Linked DNA regions of Drosophila melanogaster. The gene in region 4 interacts genetically with the main gene of each other region. Each region holds a gene or a part of one and is shown on either strand. Other genes may lie near its edges.

Region 1 (5,411 bases), on a different chromosome or scaffold from region 4:
ACAAAACGCTGGCAAAGGCGATTGGGCCATTATAGAGCTGCAAGGCGACCTGGAGGTGCGGAGCAACCAGGATATGCACGGCCAGTTTATTGGCGATCTCTACTACAATAAATATGGCCAACCTGTGAGTTGTAATTGTAAAGTTATAATTTAACCAGCTCTTAAACAATCTGATTTTACTTATATCATAAGATTCTCATCATTGGACATCACATTCTTCAGGGACGTGAACAAAAGTTGGATAAACCATTTGCGGTGCTGGAAAAGTCCAAGACCAATGAGGGAGAACGACTCCTAGAAACGAGCATGGCCTCGCAGGATGTCAGTATGCTGAACGCCACCACGGGAGCGGAGCGCACAGTGCTGGATCATACGATCGCCCAGGAGCACAAGAGTCGCCAAAGAACGGAGTACACTGTGCGCGCCGTTTGCACCAAAAAATTAATCTTCAAATCGCGACCCAAACCAATTATAGCCAATGTAGCTAAATCCGTTTAGGTGTGTTTTCAAAAATATAGTTTTATTCAATTTGTATGATACGATTTTCATAAGTAGACTCGTTATCAAACAATTTCCATTTCACGCTCTATGCCCACGAACTTCAGCTGCTCCGTGGGTCCGTATCTGTAGTCAAAGAATAGCTCTTCGCCGGGCTGAATGGCCCGCTTGGCAAAGATGCCGATGCGATGATCGCCGGTGACCATCATAACCTTGGCATAGCAATTGGGATTAATGGAATGATTGGCAAACCGAATCTTGTTGCCCTTCCGAGTGGCATCCACAACAAAATCGTTGTTCAGATTGAAAAGAAATGAGCACATGTACTTGTCGTAAACCTTGCCACGGCGATCGGCTTCATCTTGGGATATGATCTCGCCACAATATTCCGAAATGAACTCATTCTTTTGCGCACCCTCCTTAAGAAAGATGCCCCAGCCGGCGATGTCAGACGGAGCCATGAGCAGGTGCTTGTCTGCAATTGAAGATTAAATTAGTTGACAGTGGCGAAGACCAATATGGATATATAAGAAGGTTTCTTACGCAGTCCTCGCTGCACGCACACGTTCTTGCACGTGATCTTGGTCAGCTTAAACTGATCCGCTCCGCAGGCCTGGCACAGATCGGGATCACACTCGCGCACTGCCAGATAGCAAGGACACTGCTTCGTATTGCACTGAGCCTTGCAGCGACAGCCGGGGAAACGATTCTGGCAATCGCTGCTGCAGTTGCAGAACTTTTCGCAGAAGTTTTGTGTCTGAATGCAGGAGCAGTTCATGTCGCATGGATGTCCGGGATGGTCGCAGGGCGTGTAGTTGTACACGTGATTCGAGGATGAGTCCTTCTTTAGCTGAATCTTACGACAGTGCAGCGACCACAGACGTTGCTTCTTCTTCTTCTTGCGCGGAGGTGTGAAGTCCTGTCGCAAATCCTCGAAGCTAAACTCAGCATCCTCCTTCTGGGCAAACTCGTACACCTGACGACAGGTCTTGGTCAGCATGTTGTGCGCAATCGCGCAGTAGTTCTTTAAATACACTTTATGCAAGACCCGATAAAGTGCTTGGTCAGCGCCTGTCCAAACGCACTGCGTACTGGTGATGTTCATCATGCCAGCTGGTGAGAAAAAGTGAAATATTTAACACATGGTCCAACCAATCTGCTAACTTAAAACTGACCCATAATGGAGTTGATCTCAGCCACAGCGGCGCTATTTACAGTCAGGCCATTATCCTTGCTATTCTCATGATTAAAGTCCTTGTTGCTAAACTGACTGTTGCTGTCATTACTGTCCTCGGAGCTGGCCTCATTGCAGGAATCAATGGGAGGTGTCTTGCTATCGGCCGCCAGCTTTTCCTTCATGCCATCCTGCAGCATATAACAGAATTAAAATACCATTTAAATTTATAAAGTGCATCCAACTTACGATCAACATGTAGCAGGAGTTGCTGCAAGGTTCGGCGAAAGGCTTCAGTTCCGGATAGCGACGCTTCTGGAGATTGGGACCCGCATGTCCTTGCAAGCCTGTGAACACAGAGCAGCGGGATTAGAATAACTCAATCGGGCGAAAATCACTTGATGTCTATGAAACGCTTTTGGATTAGCATGAGGGTAATCGGTTACATTTGAAGAGATAGAGAGAAATGGTCCAGCCAAAGCCACACGAAAATGAGGTGAGCAACACCGAGGGGTCAATTTAGACACATGACAAACATAGCCAAATTATCCACCGATATGGGTTATTATAAAAATTATATTCATAGACAGCGAGATGAGGATGCGGAGGCGTTGACGGGCAAACGGCATGAGAGTGTGTGCGTGTGGTTATCGAAACAACAACTACAACAACGACTCACCCTGCACATGGTGACCTAAATTGCAATTAATTCAATACATTTTGGAATTTCGTTTTTTTTTTTGGGGGTTTAAGAAATGGTACAGATTTGTGTTTTTTGGTAAGATAATATTGTTTCCAAACAAGAAAAGAAAAGCAAAAACAAAACGTAAAGTCATTAGGTAACCCAGCTGGCAGCAGTTCCCATCGTTTAACTTACGGTGCAGGAAGCAGTCGTATTTGAAGCAACGACGACAGAAGAGCGTGTGAAAGGAGTGCATAGTCCTTTCCCGGGAAACGCTCTCGGCCTTGATGCCGTCAATGTTGGGTGTGCACTCCTGTGGGCGCTCCGGATCCTGGTGCTCCGTAAGCTCAATGTACCTAGCAAAAAGAAAAAGCCGTAAGAAGGGATATTTACTAACCTGGTTATCAAATTACATACTTTTCTTTGAGCTCTTGCGCGGTGCCCTTGTCTGGAAAGTTAGCGCTGATGGCCTGAAAAATAATGGGCGCAGGGAAGGGCAGCTTGTCCTTGACTTCTTCCACATCGGGCTTAACATCCGCATCTTCAGTCTCCAGCGGTTCTTCAGTTTCCTTCTTCTCAACTTCAGTCAGATCCCCTTTGCTGTCGGTTTTCTCAAGCTTCATGGGAGATTCACCATCTGCGTCAACATCAACTACCCCATCATCTTCGCCCTGTTTTGATTTCGCCAACGTCTCTGTTTTAATGGCAGTCGCTGTACCCGGAGCGGCTTCCTCCAGTTCCTTGCTGTAGGAGCGCATAAGGGCGTGCACCAGTTCTACGAAGATGGCATCGTCCATGAACGAGGGATCCTTGTCGCCGTGAACCTTGCCATCGTAGTTTTTGATCAGTTCCTCTATGAACTTGCCATCCTTATCGAGGACCTCGTCGCCCATATAGGGTATATTGTGCAGCACCGTCTCATCCTCCACCATGAAGTTCTGCTGTGTTGGTGCCCACGTGTACATGGTGGGTATGGGAGTGACCGCGTTGATCACGCAAATGGGCACCTTTTGCGGACCGCTGGGAATGCCATTGTAGCTAGTCACCTCCGCCCGCTTCACACAGTCCACATGCGGCGGATCGTAGGGTTTAGCCTGCCAAACCTTCGACTCGCAGTACAGATCCTGTACATTGTGGTTGTGCTCGTCCCTGGAGGATATGTGTACATAGATTTTCGATTCCCAGACATCCACCATCTCTCCCGCGCTTACCAGTTTCTTATCCACGCCTCCTTGATCTCGTCGGCACGTTTGTAGCGCTTCTGCTGCCTGATTTTGATGTACTCCGACTTGACACGCCTCTTCCACTCGGGCGGCACTTTAGTGCTATTCATAATGCCTTCGAGGGACTTTATATTTGTTGATTTTACGTATAAAAAACACTGATTTTGCTACAAATATTATCCGCCTTTTTTTGCAACAGCTGCCGCAGTGTGACCGTTGTACTGCAGGAAGAATAACTTAGACACATGGGTGTATGTAGAAGACCATTTAGTGGGTACTTAATTTGTCCGGTAAGCCATTAATTATATTTATATTATAATAAAAACTATGATATTTTTGTATTAAAATAATATAAATATAATATAAATAATACATAAATATAATACTCACTTTAAATTAGCTATACAACCATTTTGTACTGAAAGTAGGAAATAAACAAAGAGCCCCTCTTTGGTACGACCCTGCTTTGTGTAGTGTTGAGAAACGCAGCCCGTTATCAGTGCTCTCAAACGTGGAATGTCATCAAAAACATAAAAAGAGGAAAAGAAAGCTATGAGAACCTCATCAAATAATAATAATAAATACAATAATATTTAAACTGGACAAATTTAATCGCATTAAGACGGCCACGAGCTTTGAGGAAATAGCTGCAATGGAACCGTCAGCCTGCGAAGGTATGTAACTCGCCGGCAAAAGAGAGCCGGAAAACGCGCAAGCCACTGACTATGTTTACCAACCATAACTGGGTTTGTTTTCCTCGCTCCTCTGCAGATCTCAAGGCCTTCGAGCGGCGCCTCACCGAAGTGGTTTCATCGTACCGTCCCTCGACGTTCCGCTGGCGCAGTAAGTTGCATCCGTATAATGAGAACACCAGGGAGCATTACAATCCGTAATAACCATAGAGCTTCTTGCAGTTGTCCTTTCCGCCATGTCCATGTGCACCGCCATCAGCGCCTGGTACTGGCTACGCGATCCGCGCACCACCGTTGTACCGCTAACGGAGTCCCTCTGGATTCATCCCGTCTTCACAGTCGCCACCCTAACATTGGGTAAGAATCGGTGTAGCCACTACTGTACTCCGTACATAGGTCACTTTTTGTAGTCAACAGCGGCGGTCATTGAACCTCGGATATTCTACCTAGTATGGAGAATAATTTTAATACCAAGCCATACCATGCTATTTAAATCCATATAATCATATCGTAGAGCAAGTCGATACTATATATCAGGTTATCTCAGGCTACTCGGTAAAAAGAAAGGATCAAAATCAAGAATTTCAAATTTTTAGGTATTTCTACTGTTATTTTGAGTAGAATACACTCCTTATATCTATCACATCTATGCAAACTACATAAGTACATTCTCCAAATTTTAGCAACATTAGGTTGCCTTTAATCTTGTCAAAGCTCTTCGCTTTATCAAATTCGATTTGTATATATCAATATTGATAGTCCAACTGATTAAGAATTTTCAGCTAACAAACACTTCCATTTAATCTAATCTAATTTTTTTGGTTTGAAACTGACTTACTGATTTTGTAAACCTTATCATTTCTCTCCGCAGTCGTCCTGTTCATCCTGGGCATACAGAAACTAGTCATAGCTCCGCAAATAATTACATCGAGAACGCGAATGGTACTGGGAGACTTTAATATGAGCTGTGACGACACGGGGAAGCTGATACTCAAGCCGCGGCAAAGTAACAACAACAGTACATGAGCACCGGCCAGCTTCCAGGACGTTTATTTAGTTAATTGCTAGTTCCCTTACCCTTTTCTTTTTTCCTACATGTTGATTCGGACACCCTCGCTTTGTAAGCGTATTTTTAAAGTACC
Region 2 (4,676 bases), about 27 Mb from region 4:
CTAACCACAAGTGGAAGCCAAATAGATGTCAGCTGGATTTCGGGTTATTTAGCCTTAAACTAATCATTTTGGTTCAATGGCTTTAGGGGAATATATAAACGGGAATTGTAAGTTAATCTCTTTATTCCAAAAGCGACTTACTTAGTAGACGTGACCCAAATAGTTGGACATTGCCCACCTAAGGGTTAATGATGAATTCTCCCCTTTTCACACCCGTTCCCATCTCTATTCATTCCACAAAGAAGGTAGGCAGAGAATAGAAGAGACCTTTTTACATGTAAACAAGTGTGGAGAGGAATAAATAAAACAACGGTACAGCAACACCCACACACCCACACCAACCCAACTGTTTCATTAGTATGCGTGCGTGGGGTCGTTTTATGCGTTGTATTTATATTATTTTGGAGGCTATGGAAAATATGAAAATCAACAAATTAAGCAATTCTGCGCGACTTTGCGACTGCGCAACAAATTGAAATCAACAAATATGACCCAGAAAACAAAGTAAATGCGCTGAAGGTGAAATCAGGAGAAACGGGGTACAAAACGGAATGTAATAGCAGTTGTTACTTGTGTTTTCCAGAAACAAGTTGCTTCCTAAAATGAGCAAAAGTGTTTTTGAAACGAAAACAAGTAGTTTTATCCGTCGCACATATTTTATTTTTGGCTGACGCAATTCCAAGCCAGAGCACGCACACTCCCAAACCAATCAAGTTGCTGTGCTGGTGTGAGTGTGTGTATGAGGTAAAAATCCGAATGGGAACAACATACACACATACAAAGTCTTTGTTTGCAGCTCGCGTGTGTGTACGATGGCAAGGGAACTTTGGAAGCGGAACACACAAATTGTGGGGAGAACAACAAAGGAAAAGGGGAATATGAAGTAAAACAATTGACGCAAATTGGAAATAAAACAGATATGCAAATGGGGGAAGGCAATAGGAATGGGTTTTCTAGGCGAATAAGGCGGTGCCAAGGAAACAAAGGCGTACATTAGTCTCATTACATATGTATGTTGTACAGCTTGCATAAAAAGCACAGCCCCTCAAACACACATACCACTGCAAGCAGCATAGTTCCTCGCCCACCCCTCGTTCGACCCTCTCGCTCACTCTGTAAGCAACGACCTACGAATAGCGGACCCCAAATCCACTCTCTCGCTTACACACACAAACACCAGACAAACAGCTGTGAAACAAATGGAAGCGAAACAAACACGTAAATGAACGAATTTTGTATGTATGCCTAATATAATTTCTTTTTTCCTACAAACAAAATCATCTGATAGATGAAGAAAAAAACCTTGATTCTCTTTTTGCATTTTATCGACTTTTCCACTCTTAAATAAATTTAGCATTTTCTTACGTTTTTACAGCCATTTTGTTGTTTTGTGTTGCGCAGGAATGTTGAGATGAACTTTGTTTAGTTGTGAATTTTTGCTTCTATTGCACTCGAAAATAAGTGAATAAATTGGCTGGCAGCTTTACGCTTATTCAATTGCGTCAGATAGTTAGCTATAAAACCTTGTCGTTGGCCATTTAAGCTAGTTGTTAACTAATTTGTACTGCGTTTGTATCACAATTGGAACTCTGTTTATTAGGCTGGCATTTTATCCTCAATTTTTCCCGTCTGCGGATCGATTTTTCCCACACACACTGGGCTGAAGGTGCTTGGGACTTTTCTCCATCAGCTGTGCATTTTCCTCCTGCTGATTTTTTTTAGTTCTGCTTTAGCAAAGCTTTGTACGTTTGCACTTGGTCCTTTTCAATTTCTATTTTCTATTCCTAAGCAAACAAACACATTCAAACACTCGCGCTCGCAAAAACGGTACTTCTCCGCTTTGTTGTTTTTTTACGAATGAAGAATATTGTGAGCGACCAGTGTTACCAGTAGGCCTACAAGTTCCACAGATTTGGTGCGAACTGAAATTTGTACTATAAAATACCCTAAGCCAGCGGAAGCGATAGTCCCTCACTATCGATGTGTATGTTATTCGATTCTCTCTGTTAACTAACATTTCGCTGTAATGTTATCGAACCCTAATAAGCCCGCAATAATTCTTTTTTGATGTCGAACAATTTTGAACACCGAACTCAAATAAGCCCGCAATAATTCTTTTTGGTGTCGAACAATTTTCAACACCGTAAGCCTGATAGGGATTAAATAATAACTTTATGCTTCTGAATGCGGGATGTAGACAATTTTATGACAAGTGATTTAATTAGTTAGGGAATTAAAAAATATGAGGGCAACAAATCCTCGAAGTTAAATTGAGTTCCCAAATTACTATTACAAATGGAAGCTTCTGTTTTGGCAGGGAATCGCAAACTTCCCACACATAATTTCACAATCAATGTCATTGCCAAAATATAAACATATTTACATATGTACGCCGCAAATCGAAATTCCGTTCAGATAAGCGTTGAAATTACGCATTTTGATAAGATATTTTGAAGATGGAAACTACGCAGCAAACTGTTTTACAAAAGCCGGAGAAATGCATTTCCGGCGAAAAGGAAATTCGTTACTGTTGCCAAGTGAACATTTTCAAGAGAAGAGGGGAAGGGGGTGGTCTATTTCAGGCCCCACTACACACACATGCATATTTCTAGAAACAACCTGTCACACAAACGACTCATCAACGGCAATTTTTTATGAATGAATTTTAGCAATTAAAGCAATGGAAAGAAACTTTTCAATGGGAATGCGAAAACATCAATTAACTTGTTGCACAAGATGTTCAGCCTTCGATTTTCCCCAATCTCAACGATAAGAAACTTTCCTCAATTTCGTCACACACACACACACATGCGAATGGGAAAAAACGCGTGGCGATTGATTTTCGGCCTTTCAAAAAGTTCGTTTTACGCACTGAACAGCCCGCGAAATGAGTGTAAGTCGGTGTAACAAATCTCATGGCACTTACCCGGATGCCTCTGCGTTTTGATCAGTATCTGCTTTTCTTGCTTCTTATTTCCAAAAAATATAAACTTATTCTCAAATCAAATCTTCGAGAACTGACCAAACTAGGTGTTTGTAAAAATCCAAGGTAGGTATTTCGCGCTTTGCCCATCTGGCAACGCCCGCCCATGTTGTATCGCGAAACGGTCACTCTGCACAGCCGCAACAAAATAAAAAAGGAAAAAAAGGCAAATTGGCTGGAAAACTGGATTTCGTCGGGCGGAAAATTGTACTTTCGAGTTTCCCAAGCAGCCAATTAAGTGCAAACTATGAAATTCCACGAAAAACAGTAAAAGCCAGTCTCTACCAAGGATTTGAGCAGGAAACTTCTCGCTGGGCGTGTGTGTGTGCAGTGCGTGTGCCAGTGTGCGTAAAGAAGGAGGTGGAGAAGACGAAGGAGAGGAGAGTTTTCGCAGGGAAATTACGCCAACTTTGTGGGAGTTCAAGTCGAGTTAGTTCAGCGCGCGCGTGTGTGTGTGTATGCGTGTGTGCAACACCCCCCAAGCCCACTCACACAAAGCCATCCAGCCGCCGTTTGTTTTGTGCTCACATTCGCGTGCCGCCTTTGTTTGGCTTTTCTTTGGCCAGTGATTCTACGCCTTGTTTTTGCCCGCCGCCGGCTTCGATTACGCCTGCTCCAGCCACCGTACGATCCCCACTCCGCTCTCCGCCGCTCACGATCCCCATTCCGGATCCGGATCCAGCAACAACGCCGCCGTGGATGCCCATGCTCGCACTCTGGGCTCGCTCGCCCAGGACTTTGGCATGGGCGGCGGCTCGGGGGCGTGTCCGCCCGCCCACATGTACGGCGCCGTAGCCCCGCAGGACAGTAAGTGAAGTTCTCTAGAGGAGCAGCAGTCATAGTGAACTCCTTTTCGAGTTGTTATTCTAAAATCGATTTGTGGCCAAGTATTGTGGACAATCCTAAATCTTACCGTAGCATTATTATTTACTGTTGATAAACTTGAAACTCTTTGAAATTTAAAATGAAATTGGATTGAGCTGTACAGTATCCGTTGATCTACTAAAAAAACTCAGAGCTAATTACCCCCACCATCTGCAGTAATTGTCCGGGACATGGTGCAAATGCCGCCGCCGCCCTCGAACGCCCCCACATCGGCGGACGCCTGTCTGAGCATCGTCCACTCGCTGATGTGCCATCGGCAGGGCGGCGAAAGCGAGGGATTTGCCAAGCGAGCCATCGAGTCGCTGGTCAAAAAGCTCAAGGAGAAGCGCGACGAACTGGACTCCTTGATCACGGCCATCACCACGAACGGAGCCCATCCCAGCAAGTGCGTGACCATACAGCGCACCCTCGATGGTCGCTTGCAGGTAGGTTGAGTCTCTCAGACTTTCTGCATCGAATTTGATAATGTGTATAAGCAATGAACTTACCACTTTACCATTCTCTATCGAAGGTTGCTGGACGCAAGGGTTTTCCGCACGTCATATACGCCCGGATTTGGCGCTGGCCTGACCTGCACAAGAACGAGCTGAAGCACGTCAAGTACTGCGCCTTCGCCTTCGATCTCAAGTGCGACTCGGTGTGCGTGAATCCCTACCACTACGAGCGCGTCGTCTCTCCGGGCATCGATCTGTCCGGCCTGAGTCTGCAGTCGGGCCCCAGTCGCCTGGTGAAGGACGAATACTCAGCGGGTCCGCTGGTGGGCAGCATGGACATCGATGGCAACGACATCGGCACCATACAGCACCAT
Region 3 (7,633 bases), on a different chromosome or scaffold from region 4:
ACAAAAAATAAAATGCATATGTTCACCACTTACATGGTGGCCACCTCCAGATCTTCCTCATCTTGCGGCCCACTCCTGGATGGGGGCTTCTCCACCAGCGGCGTAGACGTGGCCGAAGGCTGTTCGCCAGCAGCAGCAACTTCCGCTCCCGTTCCACTTCCTCCACTTACACTTGCACTTCCCCCTGTTGCCGCTGTCCCGCCACTATTGCCGGTCAGGCGGCGTATCCGCTTCTTGGGTATATTGCGAATGGCGCTGGCCACCGGTTGGCCCAGACAGAGCACCTGGGCACTGGCTATGCGCAGCGTATGCAGCTGTTCGTCATCGGTCATCAAGCGCATCTGATAGCTTTTGAAATAGCTCGATGGCTGACGTATCATCGGATTGCTGGACTTTGGTCCGTTGTCCGCATATGTGAAATTATAGGTAAAACGCTCCTGGCTGCTGCTCAGGCACATGTCCTGCTCGAAGTCGCTGTCATCGGGCTCCGAATCGCATTTCGATGGCGGTGGATCCTGTTTAGGTTCTTGTATTGTTTGCTGAATTTGCGGCTTTTGCTTTGGAGATTTTTGGGTGGATTCCGCCTCCGCTACAATGGGCAGTGCCGGAGCATCGGTTGTGGAGGAGGGTACCCTTGCCTCGACACGTTTCTTGGCCGGTTTCTTGGTATTTGCCTTGATTTGGGTCTTCGTCTTTGCTCCTTCAGTGGATTTGGAGAGATCTTCCGGAGCAGGAGCTAGTTTTGCAAAGACAATATATTAGTTTCAATACCCATTCGATTGGATCTTAACTACTTACTTTTATTTTCGACTAGGCGCGAGGATCGTCGCATACAGAGATTGGCTGGCTCCCCGTTCTGTACCTTTTTCGGGCGTCCACGTTTTCCAGGGGCAGGCTGTGCCGCAATTTCAACCGCTGCTCGATTTACCTTTGGTTTGATTACAATCGGTAATGATTCCTGTTTTTTCGCAGATAGATTGAGGGCCATGAGCAGAGCGGGATCCAATTTGCCGGCTGGCGGATCTGCTGGCGCATCTGTGGCGGCACCGACTGGCGGACCAGTAGCCTCTGTGGACTTAACATTCGGATTTGGTTCTATTTGCTTTTTAGCTGCTTTTGTTTTCAGTGGTTCGATGTGCTTTCGATTTTTTGGCGATTTTTGACTGCTTGGATTGGCCAGTTTGGCATTTTCACGCATTGCAGTGAGCTTCTTGTTGGCAGTCTTTCTCCCTTGACCTTTGATCGGTTGGGGTTGCTCCTTAAACTTGGCCACTACACGTTGGCGTTTTTCATTCAGCTGCTGGCGTTGGTGTTCCTGACGGCTTGTAGAGGCCGTTGGAAGAGCGACGGATGAAGGATCGTCCGCCTCTGGCGGAGGCGGTGGAGGCGGCGGAGGAGCAGCTGGCGGTGTTAGAGGAAGCGGCGGAGGCGGAACAGGAGCAGCCACCGGTTTAGGAGGTGTAGGTTTTGTTTGCTGTTCTCCACTGGTATCCGTCTCCTGGGCCTGCTCTTTGCTTGGTGTCAGCCAATTCCGGATAGGATAGCGGACCTCCCCGTCCTGGCTAACTAACTGACCTGGCTGACTGTCGATAGCAAGCATGGGCAGAACTGCATCCTCAGAACCGGCTGCCTTCAGCCACTCTTCGTCTTCCGTGCTGCTAATGTTCGATAAGTTATCTATGTTTAGTAGCATCTCCTTTTTCTTGCTGCACTTTTCGTCGGCATTCTCGCCATTTGCCTCTTCCCCTCTGCTTTCCCCCTTTCCGCTGTGAGAACTTGACGAGGATGAGGAACTCGATGATGAACTACTGGAGGAGCTTGAGCTCGAACTGGATGAGGACGATGAACTGGTTGCCGAGGAGCTAGAATTACTAGATCCTTCAATAATTGCCTCGGGCAGGCCAGGCAAAAGTTTATAGTGCGGAAGCTGCTGCTGATCGGAGGGAAATGAGCCAGCTGTAGCGGACTCCGCACTGTCCACCGCCTCACTGCCAAAGGATCGAACGCGTCGAAGGACGGTGGGCTCCAAGGACAGGACAACGGGTTGCTTCACAGCATCTGGTGTCTTTTCTAAAACCGTTTCATTCTTTTCACCATCGTTTTCAGTTTCCTTCAGATGTTCATCCATTGGCTTCTCTGGTCTTTTCGGTGTTTTCTTATTGTCCTCAGCATGTTTGTCCTCCGGATGAAGGCTTTTCTTTGAACACTCCATTTCTATTAGCTCTTGATTCTTCTGTTGCGAAAGCTCATCCTCTGCCTCAACCTTTTTCTTCTTGGGCGTTGACCGAACCTTGGGTTGTTTCTTATCCTGCGGATCACCCCACTGTTGTATTGCGCACTGCGCATTCGCATCGGTGTGTTCCGCTTCATCCGGACGATAATAGGAACTGCCTGAAGAGTACTCAGTCTTGGCAGCACTGCCTATCGGAGTACCGGGCATCTGTCCAAAAGGTGTCAAGCGAAATCCAGGTGTGATGGCACTCAACTGGGGCGTATCCATAATACTTTTGGTATCCGAACCAAAGAGAAAGCTGCTACTGGGCAACTTGCCATATGGCGTGTCCAGAGGTGGAATGGCCATTCCTGGCGTGGGTGGGATGATAGCGGCTACACCAACACCAGCTTCCTTTGATGTGGTGTCATCTTCTACGGCTCCGCTTGCTCCTGCTCCAATGGGAGATGCTTTAAACGGAGTGTCCAGAAGCATGGCCATGTTGGGTCGCGACAGTTCTGCCGCTAAGGCCTTCGCTTGCTCCTGATCCTTTGCATATATGCATCCTTGTTCACTTTTCTTCTTCTGATCCTTTTCCTCGATCTCCGCTTGGGTTTCGTCTATGGTTTCTTCTATGGTTTCGTCTATGATTTCTTCTTTTGCCTCAAACACCTTCTTTTTCTTCAGGAGCTTTGGTTTCTGAGGAGTGATAATCTTGATGTTGATCTTCTCAGTGGAATCCCCAACACTGCGCTGCGGTTTCTTTGCCAGATTCATGGGCTCCGCCTTCGCTTTGACCATTGGAGCCTTTCGTGCTCTCGACGAAGCTGAAGTGGGTGTATCTTTCTTCTTTGGACGCCTCGAGCGGCCGGAGGCCTTTACCTCCTCGCGCTTGGAGTTAATCTCACGCAGCCGATTTTCAAGGTCAGAATTGGAGCCATGCAACTGGCGCTGCCAGGCGGCCATATCGTTATCTACAACTGCGTCTCCTCTGGCGGCGGAGCCTACATCTGGCTTTCCTTCAATCTTCTGCTGCTCCTGGAGATTCTCTTTGCTGGCCTCGGCGCTGTCATCGTGAGCGGTCGACGATGCGCTGCAGGCAGAGTTATTTTTGGGCATAATTTTCTTTTGATCCTTATCCGTCTTGGTTTCCGATTCCGCCTGGGAGATGATTCGCTTGCAGGCCTTGACCGCTGCTTGTCGCTTCTGTTTTCTTTTGGGCGTGGCCACCAACGGAGGAACCGGAGCTGCTGACGGAGCGGCAGCTGGAGGATGGGCCCTGATCACCGTCTGATTGCTGCACTCCTCCATGGCGAAGAGTGGTGGCACTCCTCCAAGGCCCTCGTTTGAGCTCAGGTCGCAGGCGGCCTGGATGATCTCCACATGGTTGATAATTGGCTTCTCTTGGGCTTTGGCCAGCAAACCAGGTCGCCTAGTGGACAGCGGCGTATTGGAATGCAGGACGCCACCAGGAGGAACCTTAGGGGAAAAAGTTAATGTTCGTACATGCGAAGTTCTCTTTCGGGGAGTGGATAAGCTACGAAAGGCCTTTACGTTAATTATTCCCGACGTCGAGGGTGTCACTCTCTCCATGACTTGTCTAGATGAATCCAGGGATGCGGGTGGAAACTTTCGCTGCTCCTCCTCTAGTTGATCTATCGGTTGCTCTTTTGCCGCCGTTCCCTGGCCCGCCTTGTTGTCCACTTTGGCTGCATCTTTTATCAACTGGACTGGAGGCTCCACGCTTGGGGGAGGTGGTTGTTTCTGGGCGCTGCTAATGATAATGGAATTGGGGGGCAGCTGATTGGCAGACAGAGTAATCGGCTCCGGCAGCGATATCTCAATGTGCGAGTCATCAATGTTGGCAAAGGCATCCGGCCCAAGTTGCTGGGCTACCCACTCGTTGTTCACCAGGAATGGAAGATGCGACAGCAGTCCACCGTTCGAGAGGTACATGGGAAACGTCAGCTGCCCGGTGGTGGCGTCCACACAAACCTGACCAGCAGCTGTCGCCTCCACCTCGCTGAGCATTGACGCTGGATCGGCAAAATTTATATTGAGGCCTTCGCTTGTAAAGCTGATATTGGACGTATCCAAACCAGCAACCATTTTTTGGACACTCTCGTTGGAGTTCAGTACGATAAGCTTGGAGATGGAGAAATTGGGATCTGCATTGGTTCCTGCGGTGGCTGCAACGGCGGTGCGAATAATAAGCGGTGTTTGCGGCGGCACGGGATCCACGGCCTGTTCTGTCGGCAGCACATCTCCATCAGCAGCGGGAACAATAGCAGCCCCAGCAGCATCAGAGGCAGGCGACACACCAGGGTCCTCCTCATTTGCCAATGGTTCATCCCCGATCACCACCTCCTGTATGATGCGATCGAACGAGGGATCCTTCTCGGTGGCCTCCAGTATGTTCTTCACTAGACCATCCAACATGGCGTCACAGCTTACCGACGGATTGTTAACAGTCACCGTCTGCAGCGCTACGTTAATATTCTTTACCAGCGTCTCCTGGAAGTCCTGATTCTTAATTATCGCGCAGGCCAGTTCCTGAAATCAATGTAAATCGAAAGAGTGTTTTTTGTTTAGAATACATAATAGATGCACTATTGGTTAATTAAGCAGATATGCATTAAGCATGTCTATGGACTTACAGGCATGCTTTGCGGCGTGAGCAGAAGTGGATTGGACTCGGTATGACCTTGGCGCGGCGTGGAATTGTTGCGCGGACCAGGACCATTCGCCGGAAGTAAGTCATCCTCCTCCAAGTCCTCGGTGGCCGTTGTGCTCTCGCCATCCTCTTCGTCCAGTTCCGCCTCGCAGTCATCCTGGCTGCCTAGGAAACTCTGCCTGACCTTGTCGCGGTTAACGCTGCAGTAGAAGTGTGGCGGCAGCAGACGCGGTCGCTTGCTAAACGAAGGCGAAGAAATGCTGTTCACGGGAGAATGGGTGCGCCTGGGGAAAAGGGGTAAGAGAGCAATGAGAATTCCGATGTGCTTGTGTCAAGGAAAAATCTATAATTACAAGCGCCTTCTCTTGCGATGCGACTGTGATATGGTGGGCTCGCCTGGGGTGCTGCTTTCATTGGTACAGCTACTCCTCTCGCCGGCGGCTATCAGTTCGCTGACCCGTTCGGACAGCTTCATCTGCTGCAGCTGCATACGCATATCCAGCGGCAGCTTCTGCACGGCACCGGCCACTGAAAAGAGAGATTTTCGGTCAGCCGCAAAAAAAAAGAAACGCAAGGAGCGTGCTAATTTACCCAAGCTTGTGATCTTGACATGCTCGCAGATTATCTCCTCCAGACCCCCGTGAAGGAAGTTGTGCGTCTGCAGGCCCTGTTTAAGGGCCAGGAACTCGTGGCGCAGGTGAGGCGATGTGCGACACAGAGTGTGTGCGGCCCTTTTTAGATTCTGGTTGACTAGGTAGCCTACAAAATGGAAGAGCATAAATATTGCGAGCTAGAAAAGCGTCCAGGGAAAACCTACCCAGGACCAAGCGAGCCACGTCCGAATGCAGGACAATCGACTCCATGGCTGGACTTTCCGACTCAGCTAAGCGTCACCATCCACTCGCTTTTCGCCTTGCCTTTCTTTTTTTTTTCGCTTGCAAGACTTTAGGTTTATCGAACGCACTTGTAATGCCTTATTATTGACTGTTGCAGGTTTAATCACTCAATAGTTAGTCGGAATTGAATCAGCGCTTTAATTCGAGAGAGAATAAACCATTTTCTCGCCTATTCGCCGACTATTTTCGTTTTGTTGTTGCCGATTCTAGCGGCGCACTGTACAACACACATAGGTTAGCATAGCATCTGTGTTTTTTTTGCCGCCCGCCAAAACAACGCAGTAGGGTTGCCACAGCGCCGAACTATCGATATAGTCCCGTTGTTTGCGCTTGGCTGCCAAGCCTTATTAGGAGCGTGGGAAATAATGGTAATAATTAAAGCAAAGAAATACGTCTCTTTCGCTTAAAACAAATTATAGCAGTTTTTATTGCTTTGATGGTCTTGCTTCAATTCGTTTTTATGTGTACGTTACAGTACTTAGAATCCGATATTCGTTAAACTATCGATATGGGAATGCTGCAAATACCTGGCATCCCAGCAATTCATAACTAGACGGCGTTGCCAAATAGATCAGAACGCAAAAACCAAGTGCAATATTTTATTCGAGTGACTTAGATTACTGGTTAACTGGCACTCAATGGCTGCCAAGAGTATCGAGAAGGAGAAGGGCGAGGGTCAGGAGCCCGCGACATCAGCGGAGAAACCCGATCCAGCCGCACCCACTGAACCAGCTGAGGAAAATTCCAAAGAACCGGCGCCGGAAGACGCATCGCCGGATAAAAAGGATGGTGGACGCAAAAGGAAGAGGCATTTGTTCAATTCGATTCGCGGTCAAATGGAATTCTACTTCGGTGACGCCAACTTGAGCAAGGATCGCTTCCTTCGGCGCTACGTAGAGCAGGATCCATGTGAGTAGCTAAGGTTGGCTCACCAGCCAACATAACACTGATCATGTTATTCTTTTACAGATGTACCATTGGAAATCTTTCTCACTTTCAATAAGATAAAGACGCTCACCCAGGATGTGCAGCAGATAGCCAAGGCACTAAGCAACTCCCAGCTTCTGGAGCTGGATGAGACCGAACTAAAGGTCAAGCGACGTACCAAGCTACCAGATCAGCGCGATGTCAACGACAAAACCTTGTATGTAGAGGCCCTGCCTGCAAATGCCACTCACGATTGGCTGAAGGAGGTATTCAGCCGCTACGGACCGGTGGCCTACGTGTCCCTGCCCCACTATCCGGGCACTAAGAAGATCAAGGAATTTGCCTTTATCGAGTTCGAAAAGAGCGGGTCCTTGGAGAAAGCTGTGAAGGCTTTTGCCCAGATACAGGGCGTTTTGTCCGTAGAAACCGATCCCAGTGATCTGGCCAGTGTGCGCTCCTTTCAGCAGCAGCAGCAGATACAACAGAAAGCGGAGCAGCCGCAGTCAGAGGCTGAACAGGTTGAGTTGCCAAAGCGAAATCTAAAAAGGGAGGCCACCGACAAGGATCGCGAGGAGATACACGAGGTGAAACGGGTTAAGTTGGAGGAGGGCCAGCCTAGCGAGACCTCTACAGCTGGGGAAACAGCGAGTGAAACGGATGCAGAGGGCACAGCCGAAGCCTCCGAGCAGGAGGACAAAACAGAGGCAACCGATGGCGATGAAGCTGCCAAAAAGCGCCGTCGCAAGCGCAAGAAGAAGGCGATCGTGGACAAGCCAAACATTGAGCCCAGTGCCCTGGAGCTCAAGGTGCTACCCAAGACTAGTTGGAGCAGTATGCGCAATAAGTACTTGAATCTACAGCGTCGCATCGTCAGTGAGGCAAAGAGCAAGCTGTGGCGAGAAAATCACCCACAAAATCAGCAGC
Region 4 (6,342 bases):
AATAATGTTTTTCCTAATGAAATGACTTGTATGTTGAATAAGTTATGGATTAATATGTGGTCTGGCCATTTCTTCGACTAACCGATGCGTCTAAACTGGTCCCACAAATTCCTGCAATGGTTCCGTCGTTCTGCAATTGGACTAAAGTCTTTTCTTTCTTGAATCTCGAGTGGATTGCGACCGCATGGTCGTGGAGTAGAGTCGGACTTGTTTGGATGTAGGGCAGCCTAAAGCGGACAGATGAGTCAGTGCCGGTCCCCCGGCAGCGGATGTCGTTCATTTCAGTTGAAAACTCTTTTTTGGCTTAATTAATTCGACGATTGGCTTAATGGCGCGCTGAATCCTCAGCGGGTTTTCCTGCCCATGCATAAATTACTCAGCTATTTGCTTTCCGGAACCCAGCAACTCCCATGGAACCGCGCCAATCGCCTCGACATGCAATCAGTAATGAAAGCACACACTTTCCCGAGGGACCTTGGGGGCGAGCAAAAACAATTTCAGCTGATAACATCTCGCGTTTCCTGGCCACTCGAAACCATTAGATTTTGCTGCGTTTTCACCTCGCAACAAAGACCAAAATTAGAGCCGTAAGCACTGAAGGCAAAGGCAGTTCGGTTATATCACTGTAACGAATGAACTTCGAGAATGCTGGTCTTTGAAAGGTAAGTACAGTGAGGCCGCTGGTGGCGTGAACAAGAACGTATTTAAACTTCTAATCGAAAACAAAGGCGTAAAAGCGAAATAACCGACGTCGTGGAACACATATATGTACATAGAGTGGAAATCAACATCTCTCGATATCGTAGTGTGTTGCCAGATTTAGTCCTTCAACAGCTGGCTCAAATACATTAAATAGTATATAAGTATCTAAGTATAAGATATTAATAGTGAAATTTCAAGAGACGTCCTCATGTCTAGCCATAAATCGGAGCCCTGTAAGTTTTCGAAATTCGTCTCAGCTCAACGGTTTGCCATTAGCGAGGGACCCCTGTGCTGTGCGCCGAGGTCACCCCAACCCGCTGCCCGGTCCTCCATCAATGACAATAATCAATCACGGCTCACCGCAGAGGAGGAGGCCATGAGGCGGAGCAGAATGAGGAAACAAAGGGAGCGAAGATGAAAATCGAATCAAGGCGAACAGAAAGAGGAGTTAGTCGGTCGGTGGTGGTGGGAAGTGTGAAAAGTTGGCCACAAAAGCCGACGGCAAGGGGAGTTTTCCTTGCCGCGGCCAAATCACTTGAACTATGCTTTTCTTGCTCGCTACGTTAATTGAAAACACAATTTACTTAATTTTTGCATATCTCGCTTCAAATTACGTTGCATAATTTTGAATAATTTTTATTCGTATTTTTTGTGTTGCTTTTTTCTGCTTTACTCTTCTCTCTCCATCGTTTGGTAATAATTTTCCTTTCATATTTTCGTATTCTTTCGGTAAATGGTTGTTGTAACATTTTGCTGATTTGTAATTAAATATGCGTATGTGTAACTTTTAGCAATTGTTTTGTTTAATGTTGCTGCCGTTGTTGTTGTTGTTGCAGTTCTTGTTTTTGCCGTTGTTGCAGTTGTTATTGTTTATGTGGTTGGCTTACACAGAGCGGTTGCTGTTGTTTCTTGTTGGTTGTTTAATTTAAATTAAATTAATTACTAAAATTATTTTATAACAAATATCACTACAATAGTTTGCATTTTTTTTTTTTGTTGTTGTTTGTTTTTGTATCGTTTATCAATTACTACCATTACTAAAAGAAAAAAAGATCGCTCATTTCCTCTTTTCTCACCGTCGGACAACAATTTCTCATAGCAGCTAGACAGAATTTTGTTTCATCTCTTAATATTTTTAGAGTTAATTACTTTTGATTCTAAAAGCTTTGATGGGTGTGTATATATAGTACTGTTTTAGGGGAGGATCTATTAATTATTCCTTGAGGCGGCTATTTCATCGACGCGTACTTGGTAGGCGCCTGTCTCATGTGTTGCAAGTTGCTGTTGCTGCTGCTGATGTTGCCGTTGTCCTGGTTGCTGCTGGTGCTGCATCACACGTTGTAGCAGGAGATCTGCGGCAGGTGCTGGAATGTGGGCGTGGCCGCCACCGCCGTGGCCGCCGAACTGAACGGCACAAACGAGGTCTGGCCGGCGGCAGCGGCGGCGGCTGCCAAGTTGAGCGAGGCGGCCGCCGCGTACGGGTGCATCCGCTGGGACCGCAAGTACTGGCGGTACTTTCCGCTCAACTTGTCGGTGGCCGTGTTCACTGCTCCCGTCGCCCCCGCACCACTCACCGCCCCGCCTCCGCCCACCGACGCCGACCCGCCCGAGGCCGCTCCGGCGGTGGGCGTGGCCGAGTAGAGGCGCATGGGATTGGTGTCAGGGCCGGCCTGATAATTGCTAGGAACTGTGGCCATCGGCGAGCGGTCCATCAGCATGGACGTCGCGTCCCACGGCGGCGGAGGCAGGCAGTGTTGCTGTTGCTGCTGTGGCTGCTGCTGCTGCACCTGCGACTGTTGCAGCTTCCCCGAGGCGACCGCCGTCTGTCCGTAGCTGCCGGAGATCATGGCGTCCCGCTTCCCGCCCCCTGCTCCGCCGCCACTACCCTTGGCCGCGTAGTGGCTGTGGGGATGCAGCATGTGGTGCGGCGTGAGGGCGGTGCGGGCGGCCAGCGCAGCCAGTTGATCCCACTGGCCGGCGGCTGCGGCGGCTATCGAGGCCTGGGCCGCAGCTGCCGCCGCTGAGTTGGCTGCATGGCTCTGGCTCTGGCTCTGACTTTGGCTTTGGCGTTGGCTTTGGTTGCTGCTGGCACGTTGCTGCTGCTGCTGCTGCTGTTGCTGCTGCTGGTGCTGGCGGACCAGACTAGACTGTTGCTGGGGATAGTGGGCCTGCTGCGACATCTGCGACATCTGCTGGTGCTGTTGCCGCAGTTGCTGCTGTTGCTGTTGGTAGCGTTGCTGCTGTTGTTGCTGCTGCTGGGCGCTCGTAGCCGCCCGGGCTCCACGCCGCGCGGCACTACTGCTGGGCGCCGTGGCCACCGCCGCACCGCTTCCGCCTCCGCCCAGGGCCGCTCCGCTGCTCAGCGAGCTGCTGCTCACCGCCCGCGCGGTCGCATGCATGTTGTTCACGAACGGGCTGCGCCGCTGCGACTCCATCTTGCGGAAGTAGCACGGGTGGATCATCAGCAGGGGCTCCACTCTCTGGCCCGCCGGCGGCTTGGGCTGGTTGGGCAGCTCGTACTCCACGCTGCAGTCCACGTGCAGCGGGATGCTGTAGTCCTTCTGCGGCGATGGAGCGGGGGCTGCGTTGCTGTTGCTGCTGGCAGTCTGCTGCTGCTGCTGCTGCTGTTGCTGCTGTTGTTGCTGTTGTTGTTGTTGTCTGCTGTTGGCAACCGCGGCGGCGACCTGCGTTTGGGTCGCCGCCGCATGGCTGTGGCGCGAGTTGCTGCTGCTGCTGGTGTTGGCGGGCTGGTGGTGATGGCGGTGGTGTTGCTGCTGCTGCTGCTGTTGCAGCAACTGCTGCTGGTGGGCAGCCACGGCGGCGTGGTACATGTGTTGCTGCTGCTGCTGGTGATGATGCTGCTGCTGCGTCTGGCTGTGCTGCTGCTGTTGCTGCTGCTGTTGCTGCTGCAGGGCGGACAGGGCCGACATGCCGTGCGACAGGGACGACATGTCGTAGTTGGCATAACAGGCGGCCATCGTCATTGCTGTATTCAGGGGATCTTTTAGCTTTTGCTCTCGTTTCGGTAACACAGAATTCGCTTTTGGTTTGCTTATTTACTTAGATTTAGATTTTTATCATTTTGCGGATGTTTTTCGCTTTCTTCACTTTCGAAAAAATTCACTTTTGTGGTTTTATTGGCACTGGTAATCCAAAAAGAGCGGCTAACGGTAAATTTGCCGCTGCAGGTAATCCGTGAGTTGGTTGTTGCTTTTGTTTTTGTGTTTTGAGATAGGAGGAACCTTAATCCATATGTGTGTTTGCTTTGCTTTGGAATTCGCTTTAACCCGTATAATATTAGCTGCTGTTCGCGTGTTTAACTTTGTTTCGTTACGTTTATTGTATATTTATTAGCGTTTTAGTCAGTCTTTGTTTGGTTTTACATAAATGCAGCGAACAGTTGGAGCTGCTGGGTGAGTGTGAGTGCGAGTGGGTGCGCGTGTCGGGGTGAGTGAACAATCCACGTGTGTTTTCAGTCTTTTTGCCCGTTTTTGCTGGCTAACTTAACCGTTGCTTTTTAGCTACTCCTTGTCTTCTTTCCATTCGGTTATGCTCTGTTCTGTTCTTTTCTCGCGGGGGTGAGTTCGCGGAGTAGGTAACTTGTTAGTTCTATGCGCAATAGAACTGCCGAACGAACGTCTCATCCACTCCGAAGAAAAACGCGATCTGAATTGTAGTTTCTGCTTTGTAGTTTTGCTGCCGCCGCTTGCTTCTCTGCCGCGGTCTCTGCCGACGTTTGTAAGCGCAGCGAGTATGCTGAATACGGAGCGCGCACGAAAAACAGCTGTTGGCTAGACGCCTACGCCTGTGTGTAGGCTTTGCTTTTATTGTTTTTGTTGATTGTCTGCCGATTTACTTATTTTTCGTATCACAATTGGCTGCGTTGCGTTTGTTTTTGGGTTTTAACTGCGTGTTCACCTTCGACGCGACGTTGAATCTTCTTAACTCTCTTCTTCGTTAATTACGTGCCACAGACCACGCTTTATCTCCTCCTATGTCCGCACGAATCGAGCTCTTTGAAGCGACTGACTCGAAACGTCGTCTTCGCTCCATTCTGCCGACGCCTACCTGCTGTTCGGCACAGCTGATGTTCCGTGACGTATTCAGCACACACACAGTCGCAGGAGACGAGCGCAGAGTTATTGTTATTGTTGCTTTCCTATATAAATTGCATTCAATGGCCGCTCTCTCTCCCTCTCTGTGACCGCTCTCTCTGTGCCTGCGTGTGTGTGTGTGGTATACATTCAGCCATGTTACTACACGGCGGCCATCTTTACAACTGCTTTGGTCGAGACAGAGAGAGACAAAGAGGCGAGAAAAGAGCGAGAGAGCGCACATTATTTTGTAATACGATGTCTTTAACCGTTTTAGTGCTTTAATTTTTTACGGCAAACGCATTTTTGGGAGCAGCTTTATGGGGTCGTAAAAGCAGATGGGTTCTAAAGGGGTTAACGGCGAGTTGAGAGCTAATTGAGCCGCACTAAAAACGGGGAGTTGAATGAATCTATCAGCATCACCTGGTTAAAATGGGAATGGGTTATTTTTACTTATGTATTTCTGAGCACTTTGGTACACCCCTAAAACTTAAAACCCATATAATATCAACATAAGCAGTGTGATCTCCACACAACTGCCTAAAAATCCTCTGCGACGCAACTTCGAACACACCTACGTAGTTCCTTAATATAAGAATACAACAAATACCCCAAGAACCTCTCCGGTTTTGGAATACGAAAGCTAAACTGCGCACTGAGAGACTTTCTGCAGACCAAAAAAGGAAAACAAATTGCAAAAACTCAAACAGACAGCGATATTAAACATTTCTGTACTAAAAAATGGGCAATTTAAGTCAGGAAAGGGCACTGTCTCGCTCGCACACACACAGCGAGAGAGCGAGAGAGAGTGAGAAAACGGCTGGGAATTACACACATTGTAATAAATAAGGAAGGTCGTTGCCATAGCAGCCGCCGTTGGCGTCGTTTTTTTCCCCCCATTTTGTTGTTGCTGCAAGAGAGTGGCTCGCTCTGTGGGGCTCATTCAGCAACTGCTGATAACAAATCAGCTGTTTTGTTATTTGGGGAGGTGTGTCCGCGTGCGAGTGTGTTGGTGAGTCTGGCTGTCTCTCTTGGTACATATTTGTTTTTTTTTTTCTCAAAGCATATGTTTGTTGGAATCGCTGTTGCAGCTGTTGTTGTTGTGGGGCTGAAAGTTGTTGCTGTCAAGTTGCCATTGCATTTCAGTGTTGTTGCTATTCGATGTGCAAGTAAAATGAAAACCTATGTGGCGGATTTGCATTGAAGCATGTCTTTTAATCCAAAAAGTAAAACTAATGCTTCTTATTGTCTACTAAAAACTAATAATTCGTATTATGTGCTAATTATTCTAAGACTCTTAAGAAAGAACATGATTGGTGCATGTATACAAGTTAATGGATACTATTGTTTGATAGCCTTAATGATTTCCTGCTTTTCTACTGTTGTTGCCATGGTTTTGTTAATGAATTGTCTTCATTGCATCTGGGATTGTGGATGGTTTTTGGAGTCTGGTTTGGGTTAATATCGACACTATAGTGTTGTAGCTTTATGCCGACTTTTATGGTGCTGTCGCTGCTGCTTTTAAGCCTTTTCTTTATTGGTGCTT

What was found.
Region 1: of corto (region 4) and E(z), changing one enhances a phenotype caused by changing the other (phenotypic enhancement), as found in Drosophila melanogaster (one study listed by BioGRID).
Region 2: of corto (region 4) and CycG, changing one enhances a phenotype caused by changing the other (phenotypic enhancement), as found in Drosophila melanogaster (one study listed by BioGRID).
Region 3: of corto (region 4) and mxc, changing one enhances a phenotype caused by changing the other (phenotypic enhancement), as found in Drosophila melanogaster (one study listed by BioGRID).

Annotation. Positions count from the first base shown.
Region 1 is NT_037436.4:10,634,075-10,639,485, forward strand, and holds E(z) (enhancer of zeste), read right to left. Parts: upstream 3,806-5,411; 5' UTR 3,688-3,805; coding exon 3,566-3,687; intron 3,504-3,565; coding exon 2,772-3,503; intron 2,711-2,771; coding exon 2,550-2,710; intron 2,367-2,549; coding exon 2,352-2,366; intron 2,020-2,351; coding exon 1,922-2,019; intron 1,864-1,921; coding exon 1,674-1,863; intron 1,612-1,673; coding exon 1,042-1,611; intron 974-1,041; coding exon 564-973; 3' UTR 501-563; downstream 1-500. Other genes in the region: CG34001 (uncharacterized protein), read left to right, coding at 1-124, 193-498; Cnep1r2 (CTD nuclear envelope phosphatase 1 regulatory subunit 2), read left to right, coding at 4,230-4,251, 4,349-4,420, 4,480-4,626, 5,141-5,295. UniProt on the Drosophila melanogaster protein: Polycomb group (PcG) protein. Catalytic subunit of the Esc/E(z) complex, which methylates 'Lys-9' and 'Lys-27' of histone H3, leading to transcriptional repression of the affected target gene.
Region 2 is NT_033777.3:31,607,955-31,612,630, forward strand, and holds the start of CycG (cyclin G), read right to left. Parts: upstream 3,025-4,676; 5' UTR 2,927-3,024; intron 1,862-2,926; exon of another isoform or gene 1,366-1,861; intron 1-1,365. Other genes in the region: Med (medea), read left to right, coding at 3,727-3,790, 4,025-4,293, 4,380-4,676. UniProt on the Drosophila melanogaster protein: Cyclin with roles in multiple processes including transcription, meiotic recombination repair, cell cycle regulation, and promotion of normal growth and metabolism.
Region 3 is NC_004354.4:9,237,456-9,245,088, forward strand, and holds the start of mxc (multi sex combs), read right to left. Parts: upstream 6,013-7,633; 5' UTR 5,750-6,012; coding exon 5,704-5,749; intron 5,646-5,703; coding exon 5,478-5,645; intron 5,415-5,477; coding exon 5,240-5,414; intron 5,171-5,239; coding exon 4,870-5,170; intron 4,766-4,869; coding exon 799-4,765; intron 737-798; coding exon 34-736; intron 1-33. Other genes in the region: Larp7 (La related protein 7), read left to right, coding at 6,421-6,691, 6,752-7,633.
Region 4 is NT_033777.3:5,082,340-5,088,681, forward strand, and holds the start of corto (corto), read right to left. Parts: upstream 4,734-6,342; 5' UTR 3,687-4,733; coding exon 2,034-3,686; 3' UTR 1-2,033. UniProt on the Drosophila melanogaster protein: Essential protein required for proper condensation of mitotic chromosomes and progression through mitosis. Binds to specific polytene chromosome sites, many of which are shared with the posterior sex combs (Psc) protein.